Alligator mississippiensis: one gene and its partner. The protein of the gene in region 2 purifies or fractionates together with the protein of the main gene of each other region. This does not show direct contact. Links are inferred from orthologs where the notes say so. Each region holds a gene or a part of one and is shown on either strand. Other genes may lie near its edges. The genes, in order: AP3D1 and RNF13.

Evidence for each region.
Region 1: the proteins of RNF13 (region 2) and AP3D1 purify together in Homo sapiens (affinity purification with mass spectrometry; 3 studies listed by BioGRID and IntAct, counting the BioPlex papers as one, with this or other methods). This does not show direct contact. The link is inferred for Alligator mississippiensis from reciprocal best matches to the Homo sapiens genes RNF13 and AP3D1.

What each region holds. Positions count from the first base shown.
Region 1 is NC_081839.1:7,179,751-7,190,896, forward strand, and holds the start of AP3D1 (AP-3 complex subunit delta-1), read left to right. Parts: upstream 1-6,371; 5' UTR 6,372-6,588; coding exon 6,589-6,684; intron 6,685-11,146. UniProt on the Homo sapiens protein: Part of the AP-3 complex, an adaptor-related complex which is not clathrin-associated. The complex is associated with the Golgi region as well as more peripheral structures.
Region 2 is NC_081830.1:61,457,596-61,468,652, reverse strand, and holds the start of RNF13 (E3 ubiquitin-protein ligase RNF13), read right to left. Parts: upstream 4,769-11,057; 5' UTR 4,638-4,768; intron 1-4,637. UniProt on the Homo sapiens protein: E3 ubiquitin-protein ligase that regulates cell proliferation. Involved in apoptosis regulation. Mediates ER stress-induced activation of JNK signaling pathway and apoptosis by promoting ERN1 activation and splicing of XBP1 mRNA.

The DNA of each region.
Region 1 (11,146 bases), on a different chromosome or scaffold from region 2:
ACCCACACCCCTGATTTCTGCTGGTAAAGTCACAAAGGCTGTCTCACGATGATTGAGGAGCACAGTGCCAGATGCATGAACCTCTCCACTGCAACTTGACCTTGGGCCTGAATTATACAATTGGGATGCTGAATTATACAATTCTTTACCCATATTTTCCTCTTACACCTTTCATTAGGTGACTTTTAATCCTTTCACCTGCAAAAAAACCTGTCCCTCTGAGATATGTCAACATTTCTTCCACTCTGCAAACAAACTCATGCTGCTGTAGAGTGTGACCTCCCCTCCTGACAAAGCCCTTTTCAAACCACAGGCCCTTGTTCTCTCTTTCAAAGCTCAGTTCCCTCATATTGGCTGGGACGGGGGTGACGTTATTTATAACAAGGAATCAGTTTTGTAAAGGTCATCTCTGTGTGTACTGGAGCGAAGGAGTCCTGGAACAGCTTAGCAAGTGATTGTTTGTTCAGAGAAATTAAACTGCACCCTGGCACCCTTTTCCTTATGTAAATGATCCTTCCCCACCCAAGATAAGGGCTTGTATAGCTTTCTTCAAAAATTCAGCCTGCTCCAGTGAGTAATGGTTGAAGAAGTAGGCTGTCCGGAGGAACAAAATGCTTTCAACATGTTTGTTCCTTACTAATATGTACTGAGCCATATTCAGATCTCATTTACACTGGTGTAGGGTTGGAGTATCTTGGAGAGGTAAGTCTTTGCTTCTGTCCCCTTGATGATGAGAACCTATTGCACAGTCTCTTGCAGACCAGCAAATCTGTGTCTATTCCTGTACGACTCATAAAAATGGAGATGGGCTTAGCCATGCAACAACCCAAAGGGGTCAGTTCTTTCTCTGCTGTTAGGCACTGTGGCTCATGCACATCTGTCCCTTTGTGGTTCTACCTCGTGGTCTCCAGGCCTCAGTTTCCTCATGTGCAGGAGATGACTATTCCCCAGTTTATAGCAGAGTTAGATAAAACGAAAGTAGCTGATGGTAGTTGAGAGTTTGGGGGCAGCAGACCATAGGGATGCAGATATACCAGGGGTGGGCAAAATATGGCCCGGAGGCTGGATCCGGCCCACCGGGCCATTCTATCCGGCCCCAGGGGACCCTAAAAAATTTAGCAAATGTAATATTTATTTGCTCCTGGCTGCCTGTCAAAGATGACAGAAGTCTGGGGCAGCAGGACACAAAGGAAGCCGGCAGCAGGACCCAGCAGCAAGGCCCATCTAGCTCTGCCCCACAACCAGAAGCCCCTGCCTAGCGCAGGACTCTGGCCTGAGACTGTGGGGCTGTTCCTGCTTCCTTGTGCTGGAGAGGGAAATGTGGCCCTTGACACATTGCCAAAACTTGGCAAGTGGCCCTCCGCACAAAATAATTGCCCGCCCCTGAGATAGACCATTGCCAAGCAGCAGGCAAGTTCAGTATGACCTACATCACCCCAGGTCTCATGGCAAACAATTACCAAGCCATCTGTGTGAAGCAGAGAGACAAGGGGGGTTTACCTATCACCCCTGTCAGACAGACGTCACTCAGTCCAACCACAGGCAAATCCTCAGGAACAAAACGAAAGAAGTCTCAAAAGCTGGCCTACCTTCCATAGAGAATTGCTTTGCTCAAGGAGAGGCTCCGTCAGACAGCAGCCACTCAAAACAGCAGCAGTCCCACACCTGTCATGCCTTTCTTCAGGGGGACTCTGACTGACAGTTCCTGGGCCCAGCTGTAGGTCTGCTCTCCTCAGCCAAGCACTATTTCCTCTTTTAACCCTTCTATCCAAGCCTGACACCTGTGTAACAGCAGCATGTCTACCTGAGCCCTCAGGAGTTAATGAAACTCTCTTTGGTTAGTGCTAGGTTCCATCACCTCTTCTCTTCTAGTTTGCATATTGCGCTCCTCACTGTAATACCCGAGCACCTTCCAGTACTGGGTAAACTGTGAGACTAACATCTGCCACGTGTCAACTGCCTCAGAGAGTTGGACACTCACTGTTCCTAGAAGCAGCAGACTTTTAGAAATTAACCATGTCATGGTGATCATACAACACATTTTTCAATAGGGCCTATCAAAGGAATTAGGCACTGGACCAGCAAAGCACTTAAGGATGTGTGCATCTCTAAGCAGGGGAGCAATCCTATTGTCTGCCATGGGTCTGCTTGCATTGCCAAAGTTGCTCACATGTTTAAGTGGTTTGTTGGATGACAGCCCTAATGCAGCTTTTGTGGAAGATCACATTTTAACCTTCAATCCTAATATTGCTGCTTTCATGTTCTTTCTTGCACATCAGGTTACGTGGGGATATCAATTTACATAACTGATAAAGTCATCCGGTCCATTTTAAGCTAGACTGGAGAAAGGTCCAGATAGAAAAGTATAGAGAATCATTTTGAACTGGATGAACAGAGGGATTATATGGGACTATGGGTCAAAACATGGGGAAAACTATAGCAGAAGCTATATCTATTCCCCTCCCTTCCCCACTTCTAAATCAAAATAGCAACATTTGAAATATTGCAAACCAATCCAATTGAGACCTCATCAGCCTTTTCTTACGTGAATTTCTTATTTCTAATTTATCTGATCCTTTGTTTTAATAAATCATATATGAGTTATTTGCTCAAATCACTTAGTTAACTGAGTGGTAATGTCAGAGTGATGTTATATGTGTGATAGTCCAAGCAATATGCAAGAGGCCAGGATAATTTGCCTCTTGCCTTTAACTGAGCGTTATTTATTTATTTGTTAAAGACTGGTGTTTAATTTAAATTAAAGCTAAGATCCAATCTGATCTTCCAGGTGGAATTTTCATACTACATACACAATATAAGATACGGCCTTGAACCAAAAGATGGAGGCCATATGTTCCTGAACTTGGGGAAAAAACTGGATTGGGATCTAAATTCACTAACTCAGGCCCATCTCTATCAGAAAATTAATGATTTATAATTGTCATACTTTCGATGTTCCCATTATCCTGAGAAATAGAAAACCAGAACTCATTATGCATTTGGTATTTTTTTCCGTTGAGTTATAACTGCAAGACTCAGAGTCTTCCTACAAATGTTGAATTGCTCATACTGGAGCCTGTAACTGAAATATGAAGAGGATGGGACGGAGGTGGGAGGAGATACTGTACTGGCATTAATGCCTTGCATTTATCTCCAGAGAACGCTTGCTAAAAAGTTATGTCGGCAAAATCAGAAGGTGACATTATTTATAACGTAACATCGGTGCTAACATTAGATGGGTACAACGTGATCCAGAGCTGTGAAGGTGAAGGTCCTTGGATGTTGACAAATAACAATGATTACAGTTAGGATTAGGGTTTTAATTAAGGCTGTTCCCAAGCAGATTTTAAGCCCTCCAAAGTTTGGAGATGGAGGGCTCTAAGATTTTGGTTCTGGCTCAGATCTTTAGAATGGGCTGAAGCAAATAGGAAAGTCCATGGCCCAATTCTTACAGGAACCAAATCCCCTAGGTACTCAAAGTTTGGGGCGTTTGAAACCCAGATTGAGTTCTGCACCTAAATTGTGTAGTCTGCAGTTTATATGTTTAATTGTGATCTACACAACCAAAGAAACACTGGGTTCATTTTATCCCCAACATTGTTAAATATTAGGAATAGCAGGAACGGATTTTTGGGGCTGGTATCTTTCACTGGACCAGCTGCACGGTTAGCGCAGACTTAGAAACCCCTTTTAATGCAATGCATTCTTCTTCAGGTCACGTTCTTCAGGAATGTGAATTCTGACTTTCCTCAAGCAATGGTTCTCTGCATTTTCGAACTTGAGCCACCCCTCACTGGACTTGAAGCACCCCGCTATAACTTTTGTGAATTGAGTGAATTTAAAAAACTAATTTACAGATTACAGGGCTTACTTCCTTGCAGAGGGATCTGGCAGTGAGGATGGGTGGGGATCATCCAGGCAGCAACAAGCCTGAGCCTGTGCTTATCTACTTAATTATCTGCTTATCTCCTAACACCTCACTTATCTCCTCACACCTCACAGCACCCTTTAAAACATCTAGTAGCACCTGGTTGAGAAGCACCATCCTAGAGGATTCACTACAGATTCTCTGCCAACCAAGAGCCTTCACAATCCTCCAAGGCTTGTTTCTCACCCATTCAAATAAATATGAGTTTTTCTTTTGACTTGAAAGGGGGCAAGAGTAATCCTTTACTGGGAGAGGGGTTGTCAAATATACAGCCCATGGGACCGCAGGTCCATCTAACCCAGTCTCCTGTATCAACAGCAGCAAAGAAGAGATGCTGAAAGTGAAATGTAAACTCCATTGCTATACAGGAAATAAGCAGAATTCAACTCCCCATCTGACACCTCCAGGGAAGAAACCTGCTGGAGCTTTGTCCTTGCCTAACCTGCATATTCACAGAGCAACTTTTAAAAAAAGGGTCTTTGAAAGCCAGGGGAACCACACCACCCTTTACCCCCCCTGTGCAACATGAAGTTTCTTTTCTACCTGGGAGAACTTTTACCCTCTGCCTGATGAAGGATGTTTGGACCCGAAAGCTTGCAAAGAATTTTTTTTTGCTGCTATTTAGTTGGTCTAATAAAAGATATCACCTTTAGCCCAAGAGTTTTGTCTGCGTCTGACTACAGGTTTTTCCTATTGTTCCTCTCTCAGTTGCAGCTTCCAGCATTTAGAGTCTAGGAAGTTATGATTCAGAGGTCATACCCCCTCAATAGCAACTAATACCCCTTTCCTCCAAGAACGCACCCAAGTCCACGTAGAATCTGGCTCAATAGTCAACTTCCACCACATCTGGTGGCAATGGGTTCCCCCCTTTAATGACACGCTGGGTGGAAAAAATTCTGCCTTGTGTTTATTTTAAATGGACTGCTTCCTCTTCTGTGCTGTGATTCTTTGTTCTTGTCTTGGGAGAGAATCAATTTTAAATCCATATGAACTTTCTCTTCACTGTTATGTTTGCGCATTGATTATTCTTCTTTATTCAGCACTGGTAAGGCCATATCTGGAGTCCTGCACCCAGTTTTAGGCCCCCCACTGCAAAAAGGATGTGGACAAATTGGAGAGTCCAGTAGAGGGTAGCAAAAATGTTTTGGGGGCTGGGGCACATGACTTGTGAGCAGAGGCTGAGGGAACTGGGCTTATTTAGCCTGGAGAAGAGAAGACTGAGGGGGGATTTAATAGCAGCTTTCACCTCCCTGAAGGGGAGGTCCAACTTGGATGGAGCTGGACTGTTCTCAGTGGGGGCAGATGACCGAATAAGGAGCAATGGGCTCAAGTTGCAGCGAGGGAGATTTAGTTTGGATATTAGGAAAAACTCTCACCCTAGGAAAGTGAAACACCAAAGGGGGAGGTGGCAGAGTCTCCATCCTTGGAGATTTTGAAGACCCAGCTAGACAAAGCCTTGTCTGGGGTGATGCAGTTGGGACTGGTCCTGCTTTGGGCTGGGGGTTGGACTAGATGCGACCCCCTGACGTCTTTTTCTGCTCTTTTTCTGTGATTCCAGGTTGAGAAGCCAATGTTGCCCAAGCTTTTCCTCAGATGACCCCATTTATGACCCCCCTTACTCCCAACCCACAGCCCCATCTGCTGATGTTGCCACCGAATTCAGGGTTGTGAACCCCAGTTTGGGAACTTTTCTGGTTTCTTTTTAAGAATGTTTTCATATTCCAATCCAAATCAAGTCCAAATCCGTGAGGCAGTCCAGAGCCATAAGTGGCCCTACTACTAGCAAACATCCTCCACTCCCACCTGGGGCTTCATGTATTTCCAAAATCTTTTGGCGAGCGTCCTACATGCAGGCCCTAGCCTGGTGGTTCAGATGCCCCCAAGTTTCGCCTGCTCTCAGCCATATGGCCACAGGAGCAAGCAAAGAAGCCACTGTTGTAAGCCCCTCATGCCCCTTCCAGCGTCTCTTTTCCCAAGGGAACAGACCGAGCCCTGCCCTGCCTGTCTCTCCTCAGGAACCCCTGGGCAGCGCTCCTTTTCTGTGGGGCCCAGCCCCGTGCTGGGGAGGACGCGCTCCAGGCGCACGTCTGCACGGTGTCACTGCCCCGGGGTTGCAGCTTCGCGCCACAACCCTGGTGTCACGTGAGCAAACCCCCCCCCCCAGCCACGTAAGCCGGGGCGTTCCTCCAAGCGATCACGTGCCACCTCCCGCGGGCGCCGGCGGCCACGTGACATGGAAGCCAGATTCCCCAGGGGGCGGGGCTACGGGGCAGAGGGAACAGTGACGCCTGCCTTCGTGGAAAAGGGGCGGGGCTATAGGACGTAGGGGCGGGGCTAGAGGGCGCAGGGGATGGAGGCCGGCTAAAAGGCTGCCGGGGCAAGGGCGGAGTGGGTGTGGCTAGGGCTGAGGGGCGGGGCCGAGGCTTCAGCTGACCGGCCGCCATTTTGTTGGGCTTCGGAGGCCGAGCGGAGCCTGCAGCTAGACACCGCGCTTCCCGCCGCCGCCTCCTGCCTCTCCTCCGCCCCGCGGGCTCGGGCCGTCCGGCGGCGCCCGGGATGTGAGCGCCCCGCCCGCAGACACCCGGCAGCAGCAGCAGCAACCCCCGGCCGGGCCCGGCTCCGGCTCCCCCCGCCCGAGCGCAGGCCCCGGCGCCGCCGCGATGGCGTTGAAGATGGTGAAGGGCAGCATCGACCGCATGTTCGACAAGAACCTGCAGGACCTGGTGCGCGGCATCCGCAACCACAAGGAGGACGAGGTGAGCCGGGGCCGGGGCCGACTCCGGCCCCTCTGCAGCCCGTGTCTGGAGGCCTCAGCCCCCCCCTCCGGCGGGTGCGGGAAAGGGGATGTTGGCGGGGAAGATGCAGGCCGCGCTGGAAAGGAGGAAGGCAGCAGAAGGCCGTGGTGAGGGGGAGCCTCGTCCCCGGGAGACCCCCGGGACCGCGCGTGGGGGGCAGGTGGACGCCTGAGGGAAATGGGTTCAGGTGTAATTGAACTGCTTCCGTCGTATCCCCTCGCCGCGCTCCCCCGGGTCTCCGTCCGTCCGTCCGTCGGTTGATTTAAGGTGAAAAGGACTTGGATGTCACCACTCGATATTTTCTGGTCGATTATTGATGAGCCGTCTGGGGCGGGGGGGAGCCTGATGGAAAGCCAAGAACGAGGCACGGAGGACGGGCTTATCGGAGAAGAAAATGGTCCGGTCGAATTGTGGGGGTCGGGATGCGGAGGAAGCCGCTGGAGTCCAGACGTAGCTTTAGAAAGTTTCTTGTGAAGCGTTTCCCTGAGTGATGGCGCGTGAACGAGCGTCTAGCCGGGGAGCTCGGGATGTCCCGGAGCGGCGGGAGGAAGGCAGAAGTGTTTCGTTGTAACATCAGGATAGAATGAAATCTCAAGGTGGTCTCGGCTGTGGGAAAGCTGTCGCTTACACGCAGTCAAATCATAGGTTGTGTTCGTAAGTCGTATGTTTCGGTTGGGAAAACTACAGCTGGGTTGTGTAGGATATTGTTACCTCGCTGCCGCTGTCAGGATGAAAGGCGGTATACCTCTCCGTAAACGTTTGACTTTCAGATAGCTTCAGACTTGATTGTCACACGCTGATATGTTACAGTGTGTGACGGTGTCTACCGGAGGTGTCTACGTCTGAACATTTCCATTTCATAATGCAGTTTAAAGGCTGTTTGGTATTGAACTGATAGCGTAAGAAGATACAGCTGTTTTTTTGTGCAGAGCCCCTCACAGCAAAACAACCAGCAACCTCTTGGATTTAATGAAAGCAACAGCTTTCATTAAATCACGTCAAAAATATATTTAAAAGTATGTTATGTGAACACATACCTCCTTACTGTGCTGGTGCAGTTCATTATAGAAATTGTAGCAAATCAGGGTTGGAGGTCACAACCCCCTGCTCAAAGCAGGACCAGTCCCAACTACATCATCCCAGCCAGGGCTTTGTCAGTCTGGGCCTTAAAAACCTCCAGGGATGGAGATGCCACCACCTCTCTAGGTAACGTGTTCCAGTGTTTAATCATCTTCCTAGTGAGAAGCTTTTCCTAATATCCAACCTAAAACTCCCTTGCTGCAACTTAAGCCCCTTGCTCCTTGGTCTGTCATCTGTCACCACTGAAAACAGTCTAGCTCCAGTTCGTTGAGCCTTTGTTATTCCATTCAAAATTGAAGATATACAGCAGGTGCTTGTCTAATTCTGTGTGGATTTCAATGTCCTAGTGTATAGTTAGGCCCAGTAAGGTACTGAGCACTGTATACTATATATGCACTGTAAATTTTTCTCTTAGCTCTGGGGGGATAGTCTGAAAGCTCGTAGGATCCTGATGCTGCCCCTAGGCCAGTGATTCTCAACCAGGGTGTTGCAGATTCTGTGGTGCTGCATAATATTAAAACTGTTAAGCATGCAGACGCCTACATCTGATGCACCAGATAAACCCAGAGATTTCAGATAGGAATCCACAATGTCAGAAACATCCTCATCTGTTGTGGTCTTCTGAGTTCTTTGCAACAGAAGAATTGCTTCTTTTTTTCTGGACTCAAGAAACAAGTGAAAGTTAAGAGCTGGTATTTGCCAAGGGGAGCCTTTTTTTGTTTTTTAACATAAAAGTCAAAAAACACTGCCCAAGACTTTATGGCAGGACTGAGTATTGTTTTCAGTTCTGAAATAAATATTTGGCAAGTAACTCCTTTCACTGGCATCTGTGCGTTCAGTATAAAGCCACATATGTTGTGTGGATGCATGATCAGTTGAATTGTGTGTTTCTTAATGGTACTGTGTTTCTTTGTGTATCCTCCATAATATATGCTTCCTTTGGACACTGTTAAAGATGCTACATAATCATTCCGTAACTCTGGGCTGAACAGTGCAAAGCATTTTGTCTTCCTTCTCCCACTTCAGGTGATTTTAGAACAGTTTTACCCAAAGCTAAGTGGGGCTCAAATGCTAGGGACTGAAACAAAGTTTCACAACTGGCAGTGATATGAGTGATTTTCAGTATTTAGGTGACAATGCAATGTAATCTAAATTTAATAATAGTAGCCATGAAGGCTCTTCCTTTATTTATAAAGTTTTAGGAAGTATCCCTGAGACACTGATAAGTCTAGTGGTAAATCATAAGACTGTCTTGTCTCAAAACTCCTAGTCTAAAGGTCAGATTGAAGATTGAATCTCTCCAAAACACTGTCAGTCATTGTATTTGCTGTTTGATAACATTTAGCTTTATAAATAGAGGTAATTTCTTGGCCTTGTCTAGGATTTTTTCCATCTAACATTTTTCATTACTTGTCTTCTGACTGTTGCTGCTATTTAGGGGCAGAACTGGTAGGATATGTTAGCAAAAGTCTTTATGTAGAAAAAGTAAGGAAATATTTTAAAATGGCTTTTCCTTCTTTCTTTGTGCAGGTTTGTCTAAAGTCAGGCTGTCTGTACTAATCATAATGCATGGGACCATTAAACTTTCTTTACTAAAATACTGCTGGACAAAACTCCCTAGAAATGGAGTTCACTAGGTCTTGCTCTGCGGGGACTGAAGAGATTTCTTCATGGTTTTACATCATGCTTTTGCAAGACTAGAGCTTAGGCATCCAGATCTCTTGGAACATCATTGGGAGTTAATTGCCTGTATTAAACAAGCTTCAAAAATCTCAGTCATAACTTAAGCCCCTATTTGCACTGGGAGTAGTACTGTACCAGTGGCAACCATGAAAAGAGATGTTAGGCAGTGACCCCTTTAAAAAATGTCTAGCAAGTATGACTTCATCATTCAACATAAGAGATCTTTCTATCTGCTGTCCTGCTTGATAAAGCTGTTTTGTTTTTAGAAGCCAGTTTCATGGGTTTCCATACAGTATTTTGAACTAAGTATGCCCTGCTCGGTTATTTGGGCTTTACTTATCTCATTACTTTTCAGTGAGATGCAAAACTTAGGAGAACTGACATACTGGCTGTTCCCCTGAGCAGGCTTCTCACTGCTTTGAGCAGGAACATGAAAGTGCTTCTATTAGAATTGAAAGGCTTTCAGAGCTTAGATTCCCTCTGCCTTCATTGTGTAGCATTAATGACTGGCATCATGTTATTTTCCTCCAGTTCTGCCAAAGCAGGACCTGTGTAATAGCAAACTGTTACCAGCCAGCTACTTCCTAAAGTTGGAGTCATTTTATTTTAAATATGTAAGGAAAACTTTGGTGAAGTTTGCAAGAGAATGTTGTGGGGCTGGTTACATTTCCGCCTGTCTTCGTCTTTCCATGAATTAGCAACTTCTGTGCAGAGCGTACTGCGGATGTTAAATAAAAATATCTGAATGAAATGAAGGAATTGTCTTGGCTGTTATCTGAGTGCTTCGATATACTTTCTATAGCACAATCCTTTCTTTGTTAACTTCTATTATGTGCACTGATACTTACCTTCTAGAGAACGAGTTACCTTTAAGATCAATCTACTGAAATGCCAGGAAACCACATTTTTTTTTTTTTTCTTGTCAGGCTGCACAGCATCTTCTGGTTAAAATAAACCTCATTAGCTCCTTTCTTTGACTAGGGCAGCTCCGCATTTTGCAGGAGCTGTCATCTGCCATCACTCACACAGGCTAATTAAACTAGTATCTCTGTTCCCCTGACAAACACCAAGGATACGTTTTCACTGCAGGGTTAGCTTGGGAGATTGGCACTCACATCTGGGTGTGAGCAGCCCCACTGTAGTTGGGCTTGAGTTATTGTGTTCTCATTAATACCACATTCACCTGGTATTGCTAGTGCGTTTATGAGCACACTACATGGTGCTTTATCCTGCAAGAAACTGAGGTATTGATTATTTCCCAGTGAGAGCATCTGTCCTGGGCAGGGGGAGAAGTTGTGGGAAGGTTTGGGAGGGCTGTCGGCACTCCTGTGATAACCCTACATCCTAGTTACAAAGGGGGTGGCTCTCTCCTGAAATGCAAACAGTCCTTGAGTTCTAGGCTTTGTCCAAAGCCAAGCCAGGTAGCTTGGGCTTACAATACCACCAAATTCAGGTGTGTGGTTTTTGTATTTGAATAAGGGAGGGGGGCAGCACCCAAGTCATAGCCTGAGCTACCTCTGCAGTGAAGACATACCCCAAATCAATGGCTACTCTGGAGACTCTTGAGCAACTTATTGCAACAGCACGATTTTTCCCCCCTGTGCTGGGATGAGGTGGCATAAAGGTATTAGACACTTTGCTAGTTCAGCAGGTCAGCTTT
Region 2 (11,057 bases):
AACCTCTCTGAGAAAATGAATTATGTAATCCAAGAATTTCTGTTCCAAAATAAAGAATTAATTCAACCCTATTACCACAACTTCTCTTCCAGCTCAAAAGAAAAGTTCAAAAATTAAATGTGAAAGAGCAGACATTTAAAAAAAATACTAGTTCTTTATATGTAAAAATACATGTTAAAACCGAGAAGTCAAGCACTCAAAGTTCGGAAATAACAGGACTGAAACTTTACTTGGTCTTAACATGCATAAGGAAATCTTTTCTTGTCTAGCAACAAGCAGAATTAATTTCCAGACCACAATATTGTTCTCAAAGCACAAAAGAATGTGCTTCCTAATTCCTACAGTCAGAAAACACTCCAACTCTACTGTCTTTCATTCCTGGAATTCCTACCTTCAATCACTGTCTATCCTATTAATTGGATGTGACATGCTTCATATATATGGCACAATTTTTTATTACACAGTCATAATGCATAAACTTAAAGGCCGCGTCCAGACACGCGTGGACATTTTGTCCCCGGGGACAACTAGCAGCAGAACACCCTGTGCTGCCGCTAGTTGTTCTCAGGGAATGCCTGTGCCATGTGCACATTGGCGCGCAGCAAGTTACCCAAGGTGGCGAAGGGGAGGCTGGGGCCAGCACTGGGCTGGCCCCAGAAGACTTACGTGGGGTCCTGGAGGCCACCCAGGGCTGCAGCAGTGGTGATCCTACTGGATGGGGGCTGACCGGCAGCGGAGCACAGCTCCAGCCAACCAGGCTCCAGCTTTGGGCAGCACACGCTGTTGCCATATGCACAGCTCCACTTTTTTTCTCTGCAGGTTTTTCAGGGGTCAAAAAAACCTTCTGCACTGCTCTCTTGCAACACAGAGAACAACAGAACATGCGGTAAGTAGTACCGCAGACGTGTCTGTGGCACCACGTCCCACATGGCCACACTCATCTGGACATAACCAAAGAGGCGAAACAAAGCATACCACGAAACAGTAATTCTAGAATTTTCTAACTTCTGAGTGTTAGATTTAGTAATGTTAATCTTTCTTTAAGGTTATTTTTAAATGCATTTTCCTAGGTTTATTTTTTTTAAAGTAGATTGAAAAGTCAGTGGTTCCATTACGCAGAATTACATCCTTTGCAGTTAGATCCTAATCGTAACAGTTTTTCCTATAAATTAGGAGCTCATCAGCTAGAGAACTAAGGAGGAGAAAGACCTACGTGCACTGCCATCACAGGATGACTATGACTACCAAAGTGAAGCTGCATGAAACAATAGCAAAAGTGACCCCAGAATCTATCAGGTAAAATACTGCTAATAAAACTAAGGAAGTATTAATGCCATTGTCCTGTCAGAATTTATCTGAAACATAACATACAGTTCTAGTCATCCACATTTAAGAAAGATGAACTCAAACGGAACTGGCACAGAACAAGGCTACTATATGGCCTGGGGAATGGAGAACCTATCTTGCAAAAGAAAGCTAAAAACAGCTTGTCTTGTTTAGCCTACAAAACTGAAGGCTGAAGGAGATGCAATGATGTTCCACAAATAAAGCTGGGCAAAAGGAGGGACACACCAGAGGGGGAAAAGAACTCTTTAAGCCAGGGCTGCCCACCTAGCAGCCCACAGGCCACATGCAGCCCATGAGGGTTTAAACTGTGGCCCCTTGGGCTCCCATCTGGCCACCATTCTTCCCCACTGCTCTGGTTGCAGCACCAGTTGGGGGCTCCATGTTCTCCCTGCCCCTGCCCAAGGGGGCAGGGTAGCACAGGATGGCACAGACTTCTGTGCCAGGAAATCCTGCAGCCTGAGGTGCCAGTGTCATGGTGCATTGGGAGAGTTCACAGCAAAGGCAAGTCAGGGCATGAGGTGCAGTGGAGGTGTGGGGTCTAGCATCAGTGGCACAGGGTGTACAGTGTAGCAGGGTGGATGAGGAACAGCAGCAGGGGATGCATGGTGCAGTGTAGGGGGCACCCAAGCAGATGGTACAGCAGGATGAGGAGGTAAACCCAGGCAAATGGTGAAGCAAGGAGACTCTAAAGACAGTGCAACAATAGATGTGCTTGGGGGGGTAGGATGCAGAAAGCAGCAGCAAAAGTACTCGTGGTCCAGTGACGGAGGACAGGGCACGCAATCTTTGGGGCCCAAGGCCCCCACTGGCACGGACCCTGCTAGTGAGGCCTGAGAAATGTGTGGCTTGCCAGACACTTAGAAGTTTGACAGCCCTACTCTAAGCTAAAGAGCAATACTGGAATATGAACAAATGGGTATCATGAATAAATTTAGCCTGGAATTTAAAAGGTTTCTAATCAGTGCAGTGCAGAGCAGGAGCAGCCTTCCAGTGGAAGCAGTGAGGACAAAAATCTAACTAGCTCAAAGATGGAGATTGCTCAGTTTATGAAAGGGAATATATTAGTTGGTTACCTATTACAGCAGTGACCTGGCCTTACTGACACAGGAAGTCCTTCCAGTCTTGTCTCCTACATATTCACCCCCCTGGATCATCTGCAGAGCTGGAGCATTAAGATCCACAGCACCAGCAGAAGTTTGTGAAACAGGATTCCTGGGTTCTGCTCCTGGCTCTGGACTGTGGGCCATTACAGAAAACACAGCTTAGCTGGAAGGGACCTTGGAAGATCATCGAGTCCAGCCCCCCGCCCGAAGGGCAGGAAGTCAGCTAGGGTCATAGGATCCCAGCAAGATAAGCATCCAATTTACGCTTGAAGGTGTTCAATGTAAGTGCTTGAACCACCTCCAATGGCAGGCTATTCCAGACCTTGGGGGCTTGGACAGTAAAGAAATTCTTCCTTATGTCCAACCTGAAACAGCCTTGCAGTGTTTACAACCATTCGACAATATTAGTGACTGGGTTCTATTTTCAGTTCTATCAAAAGTAAATGTATACAATCTCTGTTACCTCAACTGTAAAACGGAAAAATCGTTCCATCACGCTCAATTTAGAGGTACGGTATAAAGCTTTGTTCAAAAACGACTACAAAGTAAACAGACTTTTTAATATCAGTCGCGTGGCTCTAAGCCCAGCATCCCTTCTGAGGCCAGAGGGAAGGGCAGTGTTGCTGCTTGCTACTACTATATACAGGTCCTGTCCACAACACTAATTTTATGCCTACTAGAGTAAGAGGCTGCATGGGCCCTGGGAGTACATCCACAGGAGATGGCAATTAGGCACTTCCTGGGACCGGGACTTACTCAGTGCAAGGGGAATGTTGATAGATTGCAGCTGCAAGCTTCTGACAAAGCTCCAGTGAGCCCGGGCAAAACAGTGAGCTGTCAGTGAGTTGTTATAACAGCCACATTTGAGCATGTTGTAAGAGGCTCCTTACTCAAAGCACTAACTCCTTAGCACTAACTGTTAAGCCCATGCCCCTGGTGACAATGAGCTACCTCCAAGAAATTGTTTGTAACTTTAGAAAAGCAGCCTATTTTTCCTCAAACCTTGTTCTCAGAAATGGCTTCTACTGAAAATTGAGAAGTCTGAGGCAGAGACCAGGTTACTAAAAATGGAGCTTATAACCATGATCTACATATAAGAGAGAGGAAGATGTCTGCACTGGGACTGAGCAAATGAAATGGACAGTTTTGGCTGCACTGCATAAGGAACTTCTGACACCAGCGCTTACAAAAGACAGAAACCTGTGTTGCTGCCATTGCTACAGGAAAGTGATGGGTTGTTAACAGGGTGGAAATGTCTGCAGACACTTCAAGAGAGTAAAAAGGTGCTAGATTATGGGTGAAGGAAGGTGGTCTCTCTGAAACAGTTCCTCTGTTAAAATGTCAGCCACACTAAGAAGCCTCCCTTCAAATCCTGTGAACCTCATTTTAGCAGAGAAGTGAGCGCAGACCTCCAGTGGGAAAGGACGCCAACTAGGACGGCACATGTACACATCATCGTTTCAGAGTTGGTAGGATCAGAAAGCACCTGATCAGATCATCTAGTCTGATGCCCTGCCATGGGCAGGAAAGGATGCTGGGGTCAAATGACCCCAGCTAGGTGGCTGTCTCACCTCTTTTTGGAGACCCCCCCAGGGTAGGGGCAAGCACCACTTTCCTTAAAAGTTGGTTCCAGCTCCTAGCTGCCCTGACAGCATCACATGAACCTGTCAAAGGCACCTGCAGCAATCGACCAATTCGGCCCTGCCCCAATGTCCCCAACTTCAGGCGATTTGCAAGAGTTCAGACTCGCCCGGCCACACAGCGAACAGCTCTGCAACACAGCTGCCCCCGGCAAGCCGGAGGAAAACCCTGGGAAACACGGAGTTTCCAGGTGACTCCTGGTCCCCACTTAAAGCTGTGGAGGGGAAAGTGGCCCGGCCGGGGGACGAAGACGCAGCTGAAGGGTCCCGAAGGGCAGAGGCAGGCACCGCATAGAGGGAACGCGGCGGGGTCGGTCCCTGCGGCCGCCCTCTCCAGCCCGGCCCCTGCCTGTACGCGCTGCCCGGCAGCACAGGCGGCCCCAAGCGCAGGCCACGGACGTGCGCCCCGACACACCACCGCCGCCGCCGCCGGGCCCGGGCGGAGCCGCAGCAGGTTCTGCTTTGAGCGGGGAGTCGAGTCGGGCCGGGCCCCCCGGTCCGCGCGGTGCGAGACGGGGGCGCAGGGCGGGGGGAAGGCAGCGCTTACCTGGTCGCTCGCGCGGGGACGAGCAGGACACAGCCTAGGCCGACTCCATGCCCCTGCGCCCACAGCGGCCAGGCCGCTGAGCTGCGCTACGCTGCGCTGCGCAAACCCCGCCCCGGCCGTGCGCAGGCTGAGCGGAGAGGCCACCGCCCCCCGCGCCTGTCACTCGGCGGCCCAGCGCGCCCACGTGACGCCGCAGGGGCCGGGCCGGGCCGGAGCGAGCTGAGGGGAGGGGCCGGGGCTGGCTCCGCCCAACGGCTCCCCTCGGCCGTTTGTTCGGTTGCTCGGCGCCGTCTGTGACGGTACGGCCGTGCGTTGCTGCGCGCTGGGGGAGGGGCGGTGGTGCCGAGTGGTGTCTCCCCGCTTCCGCTCCACAGGGCTGGCCGTGCGGGACTCGCCTCCGCGCCCCGCGGGCAGCTGCAGGCCTCGTGGTGGGAGTTGCCCGTGCTGTCACCTGGCTTGTGCCCAGACCCGTGGGGTTCTTCCGTCACCCGCGCTCCCGCCCCTCTGTGGTGGCAGGAGGCAGGGCGTGCAGGAGTAATTGCCACCCCTGGGAGCCCCTCACTCTCAAAGGAACCCGTACAGGCAGACGTTTCGAGTTACAATGAACAGCACTTGAGACGTTTATAACTTTCCACCCTGTTTTGACTTTCTGACATCGGGGTTTCAACTTCACAACGCTTGATGTGATGCCACGCCAGTGAACAAGTTCTCTGTGTCGCCAGTCTCCCTGGAGAACATCTGTCCAAACTTTCTTGGATGCTTTCTTTAAGAAAGCAGACAAGGCTCCTGAAAAACCTGCAGCCAAGACACCTGAGAAGACTCCAGCCAAGAGCCCTTCAAAAAGTCCAGCAGTCACCTCAAAGAAGTCCTTGCAAATCAATATGATTGCTATTTACAATATAAATGCATTATTGTACCTATATTACTCATCTATAATTGGTCGAGTACAAAATTCTGGGTTACTTTTGGTGCAAAAAGGGTATCGGGCCTTGGTTCAGGAACCAATCCCCCATTTATAACATTGCTCCTATGGGAAAATCAGTTCCGAGTTACAATGTTTGGATTTAAGATGCAGTTTTCAGGAACCAGTTGTGTCGTAAGTCCAAGGACTGCTTGTACCATCAGCCTCTGGGTTCCCCAGCACAGTCTGCCATAGAAACGTGGGGGTGGTTCTTGTCTATGTAATGCCCAGCACAGAGCAAGAGGCTGAGCATGATGAATTATGTAATTCTCAACCAGGGCACTGAGGCACCCTGGGTGTGTGAAATCCTCTGAAGGGTGCCTCAAAGCATAGGGAGGTAAGCAGGGCATGAAGGAATAAGCAGATCAGAGTAGGTTTAGGCTCTCCTTGTCTAGCTGCTCCCCTAGCCCCCGGTTCCTGGCCCCTTCTGCAAGGAGCTCAGCACTGTAATACATCAGTTTGTGAAGCAGTGCTGCTCAGTTCACAACCATTAGGAAGTGGGGTCTTCATGGCTGATGAGGCGTGCCTTGAGTCAAAAGGCTGAGAACCAGTGATCTAGAATGACCTGGATAGACTAGACAAACCGTCCACAACATGCTCTCTGCTTAGGCAACAGAAGGGGGGGGCGGGGCAGAGCACTGCCTTATCACCTATGGTCTGCAATCAATCAGATGAGATTTAACAAGGATAAGAGCAAAGTCCTGCACTTTAGATGGAATCACTGCACGGCACACACAAATACAGGCCAGGGGGCAACTGACTACTCTGCAGTACTGCAGAGAAGGATCTGTGGGTTTACAGTGACTCATTTGCTAAATATGAGCCAACAGTGTGGCCTTGTTGCAAAAGAAAAAAAAGCAGCACGGTGGGTGGTATTAACTGGAATGCCACTTGCAAATCAAGGGAATTGATTCTTCCTCTCTGTTCAGCACTGGGGAGGCGTCACTTGGAGTCCTGTTTCTGGTTTCGGGCCCCACACTTCCAGAACCACATGGACTGTTTGGAAAGAGTCCACTGGAGAACAGTCATTAGGGGCGTGGGAGGCAAGACTTATGAACAAAGGCTGAAAAAACAGATTATTTAGCCTGGAGAAGAGAAGACTGAAAGGGAAGATAACAAACTTCAGATACTTGAATTGTAATTACAAAGCGGATGGAGATGGGCTCTTCCCTGTGGCTGTGGTGTGCAGGACTAGCAGCAGTGACCTCAAGCTGCAGCAGGGGAAATTTAGGTTGGAGAACTTTCTGATGATGAGGGTGGTCAAGCATTGCAACAGACTACCTGTAGAAACTGAAATCTCCATGCTTGAAAGTTTTAAACAGCAAGTTAGACAGACACTTGGCTACCATGATTTAGTTGGGATGATCTTGCCTTGAGGAAGGGGCTGGACTAGATAGACTACCTTTATCTTACCTAGCATAACTTAGTTCTCTCTTAGACTCTATTTTGGAGAGAATGGTCAAGCGGATTTTGCCTTCCTCTATAGTAGGAGGGGACCTGGTGCTCCTCCTCTGATACCTCAAGTGTATTTTAACAACTATGTCCCATTCTTGCAGCAGCAAGACATTGCAAGTGCCCTCATTCCTCTGCTTTACCTGTTGTGAGTTAAGTGGTTCTTGGTGTTTTGGGGCATAGTACCTGGTGGCTGAGAGGGTTCTTCACAGCATTTTAAGAATAGGTTAATCCAGGCAAGATCTTAATAACAGAAGTTCTCTCTCTTCTCTATAGGGTTTCAAGAGAGAAATTCTCAAATGCACATAAGGATTAAAGACCTGTGATTGTGCATGAAAAGCTGGCACTTCCTCCCACAACCAGAACGTTAGGTTTCTTAACTATCATTTAAGCATATCTTCCCTCTGAGCAGAAAAGGGAAATGTAAGAAAACATGGGAATATATACCATAGAACAGAAACCTATGAGTACGTTTGCCATCCCCCTGATGTAAGGGACTGTACTGACTGTTTAAGGCATATGTTGTAGGCTTGTGGTTTTCCTAAAACTGGGAAGGTTTTCCTAGAACAACATATATCAGTGAGAATTAAAAAAGAGCTCAGGAAACCCACGCTTGAGATATGTACAGAAGTTCAGTGCTGACTCTAGTTTTAGAGCCCAAAGGTGAAGTTCCATAGGCAGGGGTCCCATCTCCCCCTCAGTAGTGAGACAAGGCTGGTTCATAATATTTCCCTTCCAGTCTCTGTATGAAATTAAGGACAGCCAAGTTGTTGGAAAATCAAATCCTTCCTAGCAGCCATGTTTGTAGTCCTTGCAAGGTCATCTGAGAAGGATGTATAAATAGCTTTGTTCCCAAAGATTAAGAGGAGACAGTTTGTGCTAATAAGTTTTCCTGGAATATATAAGACAACTGATTTCATGTCTTGGTTTATTTTATAAACCTATGTTTTGGTTGTTTTTTGAAAAGTAATAAATATCTAATACAGCTAGAATATGCTTTTGTTTATATGCTCTAAAGGTCTGCCTTCTTTCTTCAACCAGCTGCAAAGTTTCTGAGTGACTGAATAACTGCTAGAAAAGGGCCTTTAACAAATTTTAAATGATGGTAAATTGCATGCTTTCCAGACACAGTAAATTTCATACTCATGGGCCACTGAGAAAATCATGTCACCTGCTCCCACAAATTCCATATTCCATTTAGGTAAATAACATTTGTGCATCTTCTTGTAGGTCACTGTTTGTTTCCATTCCCCATTTGAGTTAGATTTTTTTTCTTTGCAATGCTTATTTTATATTCCCCTGTGCTTTTTCAAATAGTCACATGGTTCAAAGCAAACAGGTTGGCCAGGCTGAAATGATTCTGGTGATTACTAGGGTTACCGCATATATATAGATCTGTAGGTACAGATCTATAGATATAGATATATGCAGCACCCCTAGTAATCATAGAAAATTAAGGTTCGAAAGGACCTCAGGAGATCATCTAGTCCAACTCCCTGCTCAAAGCAGAACCATCCCCAACTAGATCATCCCAGCTGGGACTTGAAAACATCCAAGAATAGAGCTTCCACCACCTCTCTGGGTAACCTGTTCTATTGTTTTACTACCCTCGTAGTAAGAAAATTCTTCCTAATATCTAACCTAAACTTCCCTTGCTGCAACTTGAGACCATTTCTCCTTGTACTGTCATCTGCCACCACTGAGAACAGTCTAGCTCCATCCTCATTCAAACCTCCCTTCATGCATTCATAGATTCATAGACATTAGGGGCTGGAAGGGACCTCGTGAGATCATTGAGTCCAGCCCCGCCACAATAGGCAGGAAGTCAGCTGGGATCAAGTGACCCCAGCAAGAAAAATATCCAGATTTTTTTTTAAAAAGTCCAGAGTAGGTACTTGCACCACCTCTGGGGGGGGAGTCTGTTTCAGACCCTGGACACTCGCACTGTAAAGAATTTTTTCTTATGTCTAGTCAAAAATCAGCCTTCCTGGAGTGTATGGCCATTAGACCTTGTTATCCCTTGGGGAGCTCTGACGAACAGCTGCTCTCCCAGGTCCTGATGTACCCCTCATATAATTGTAGGCTGCTACCAAGTCCCCCCTGAGCCTTCTCTTTTCCAGACTGAAAAGTCCCAAATCCCTCAGCCTCTCCTTATACGTCCTGCCCTCCAGGCCTTGGATCATACCAGTGGCTCTCCTCTGGACTCTCTCAAGCTTTTCCACATCCCTCCTGAAGTGGGGGGCCCAAAACTGGATGCAGTACTCTAGCTGTGGCCTCACCAAGACCAAGTAAAGCAAGAGGATGACATCCCTGGTTTTGCTTGAGATGCATTGGTAGATGCACGCCAGAGTTTGGTTTGCTTTGCCAACCACAGCATTGCATTGGTGACTCGTATTAATCTTGTGGTCAATCAGGACCCCCAAGTCTCTTTCGGTCGTGGCGCTAGTGAGCGTAGCACTGCCGAGCTTGTAAGTGTGTAGAGGGTTCTTCCTACCAAGGTGCAGCACCTTACACTTCTCAACATTGAAGGCCATCCAGTTTTGGTCAGCTCACCTTGAGAGTGTCCCCAGGTCAACCTGTATCCCCAGCATGTCCTACAGTGTGACCACCCTTCCCCATAATTTGGTGTCGTCCACAAACTTGGCCAATTCACATCTGACTCCCGACTCCAAATCATTAATGAAGATGATAAAGAGTACCGGCCCAAGTACCGAGCCCTGAGGGACTCCACTGGTCACCCTGTGCCACGTTGATTTGCTCCTGTCAACTAGTACTCTTTGGGTCCAACCCTATAGCCAGTTGCCTAGCCATCAGACCATAAGATGATCAAGGCCACAGTTCCCCAGCTTAGCCAGGAGGACATCATGGGGAACTAGGTCAAAGGCTTTCTTGAAATCCAGATATATGACATCCACATCATCTCCTTTGTCCAGGGCTCATGTCACCTTGTCAGAGAAGGAGATGAGTTTGGTCAGGCAAGACCTGCCAGTCACAAAGCCATGTTGGCTGGCCTTCAGAAGCTTGCCTTCTGCTAGTCTGGTGTTGATGGATCCCTTGACAATTTTCCCCAGGATTTTTCCAGGGATGGACTGATTGGTTTATAATTCCCCTGGTCATCCCTCCTCCCTTCCTTGAAAATAGGGACTATATTGGCTCTTTTCCAGTCTTCCAGGACCTCGTCCGAGCACCATGAATTTTCAAATATCTTTGCCAAAGGGGGTGCAATGATGTCTGCCAGCTCCTTCAAGACTCTCAGGTTCATTCCGTCGGGGTCCGCGGACTTGTGAATATCCAGATTCTCAAGGTTTTCCTTTACCCGATCCACTTAAATTTTGAGCCTGCCACCCACTCCCAGTCTGGTCCGTGTCCTTTCTGACAGTGTGATCCCTGTGGGAGGGTGAAAAACCAATGCAAAAGTCATTTAAGAGATTGGCCTTTTCTTGGGTGTTGGATATCAGCTGCCCTATTTGATCCCACAGGGGCCCAAGGCTGTAACCTGTTTGATCCCGCAGGCAGTTGAAGGCTGCTCTTAAATCCCTTCTCAGTCTTCTCTTCTCCAAACTAAACAAGCCCAGTTCCCTCAGCCTCTTCTGAGAAGTCATGTGCCCCAGCCCCCTTGCCATTTTTGTTGCCCTCCACTGGACTCTCTCCAATTTGTCCACATCCTTTCTGTAGTGGGGGTCCAAAACTGATCACAGTACTCCAGATGTGGCTTCACCAGTGCTGAATAGAGCGGAATAATCACTTCCCTTGACCTGCTGGCAACAGACCTACTGACGCCTCCAAGTATGCTGTTAGCCTTCCTGGCAGCAAGGGCACACTGTTGGCCCATATTCAGCTTAATGTTCACTGTAACCCCCAAGGCCATTTCTGCAGAGCTGCTGCTTAGCCAGGCAGCCCCCAGCCTGTGCTGGTGCATGGGATTCATAGTTTCATAGCTGGTAGGGTCGAAAGAGACCTAAGCAGATTATCTAGTCCAACCCCCTGCCATGGGCAGGAAAGGATGC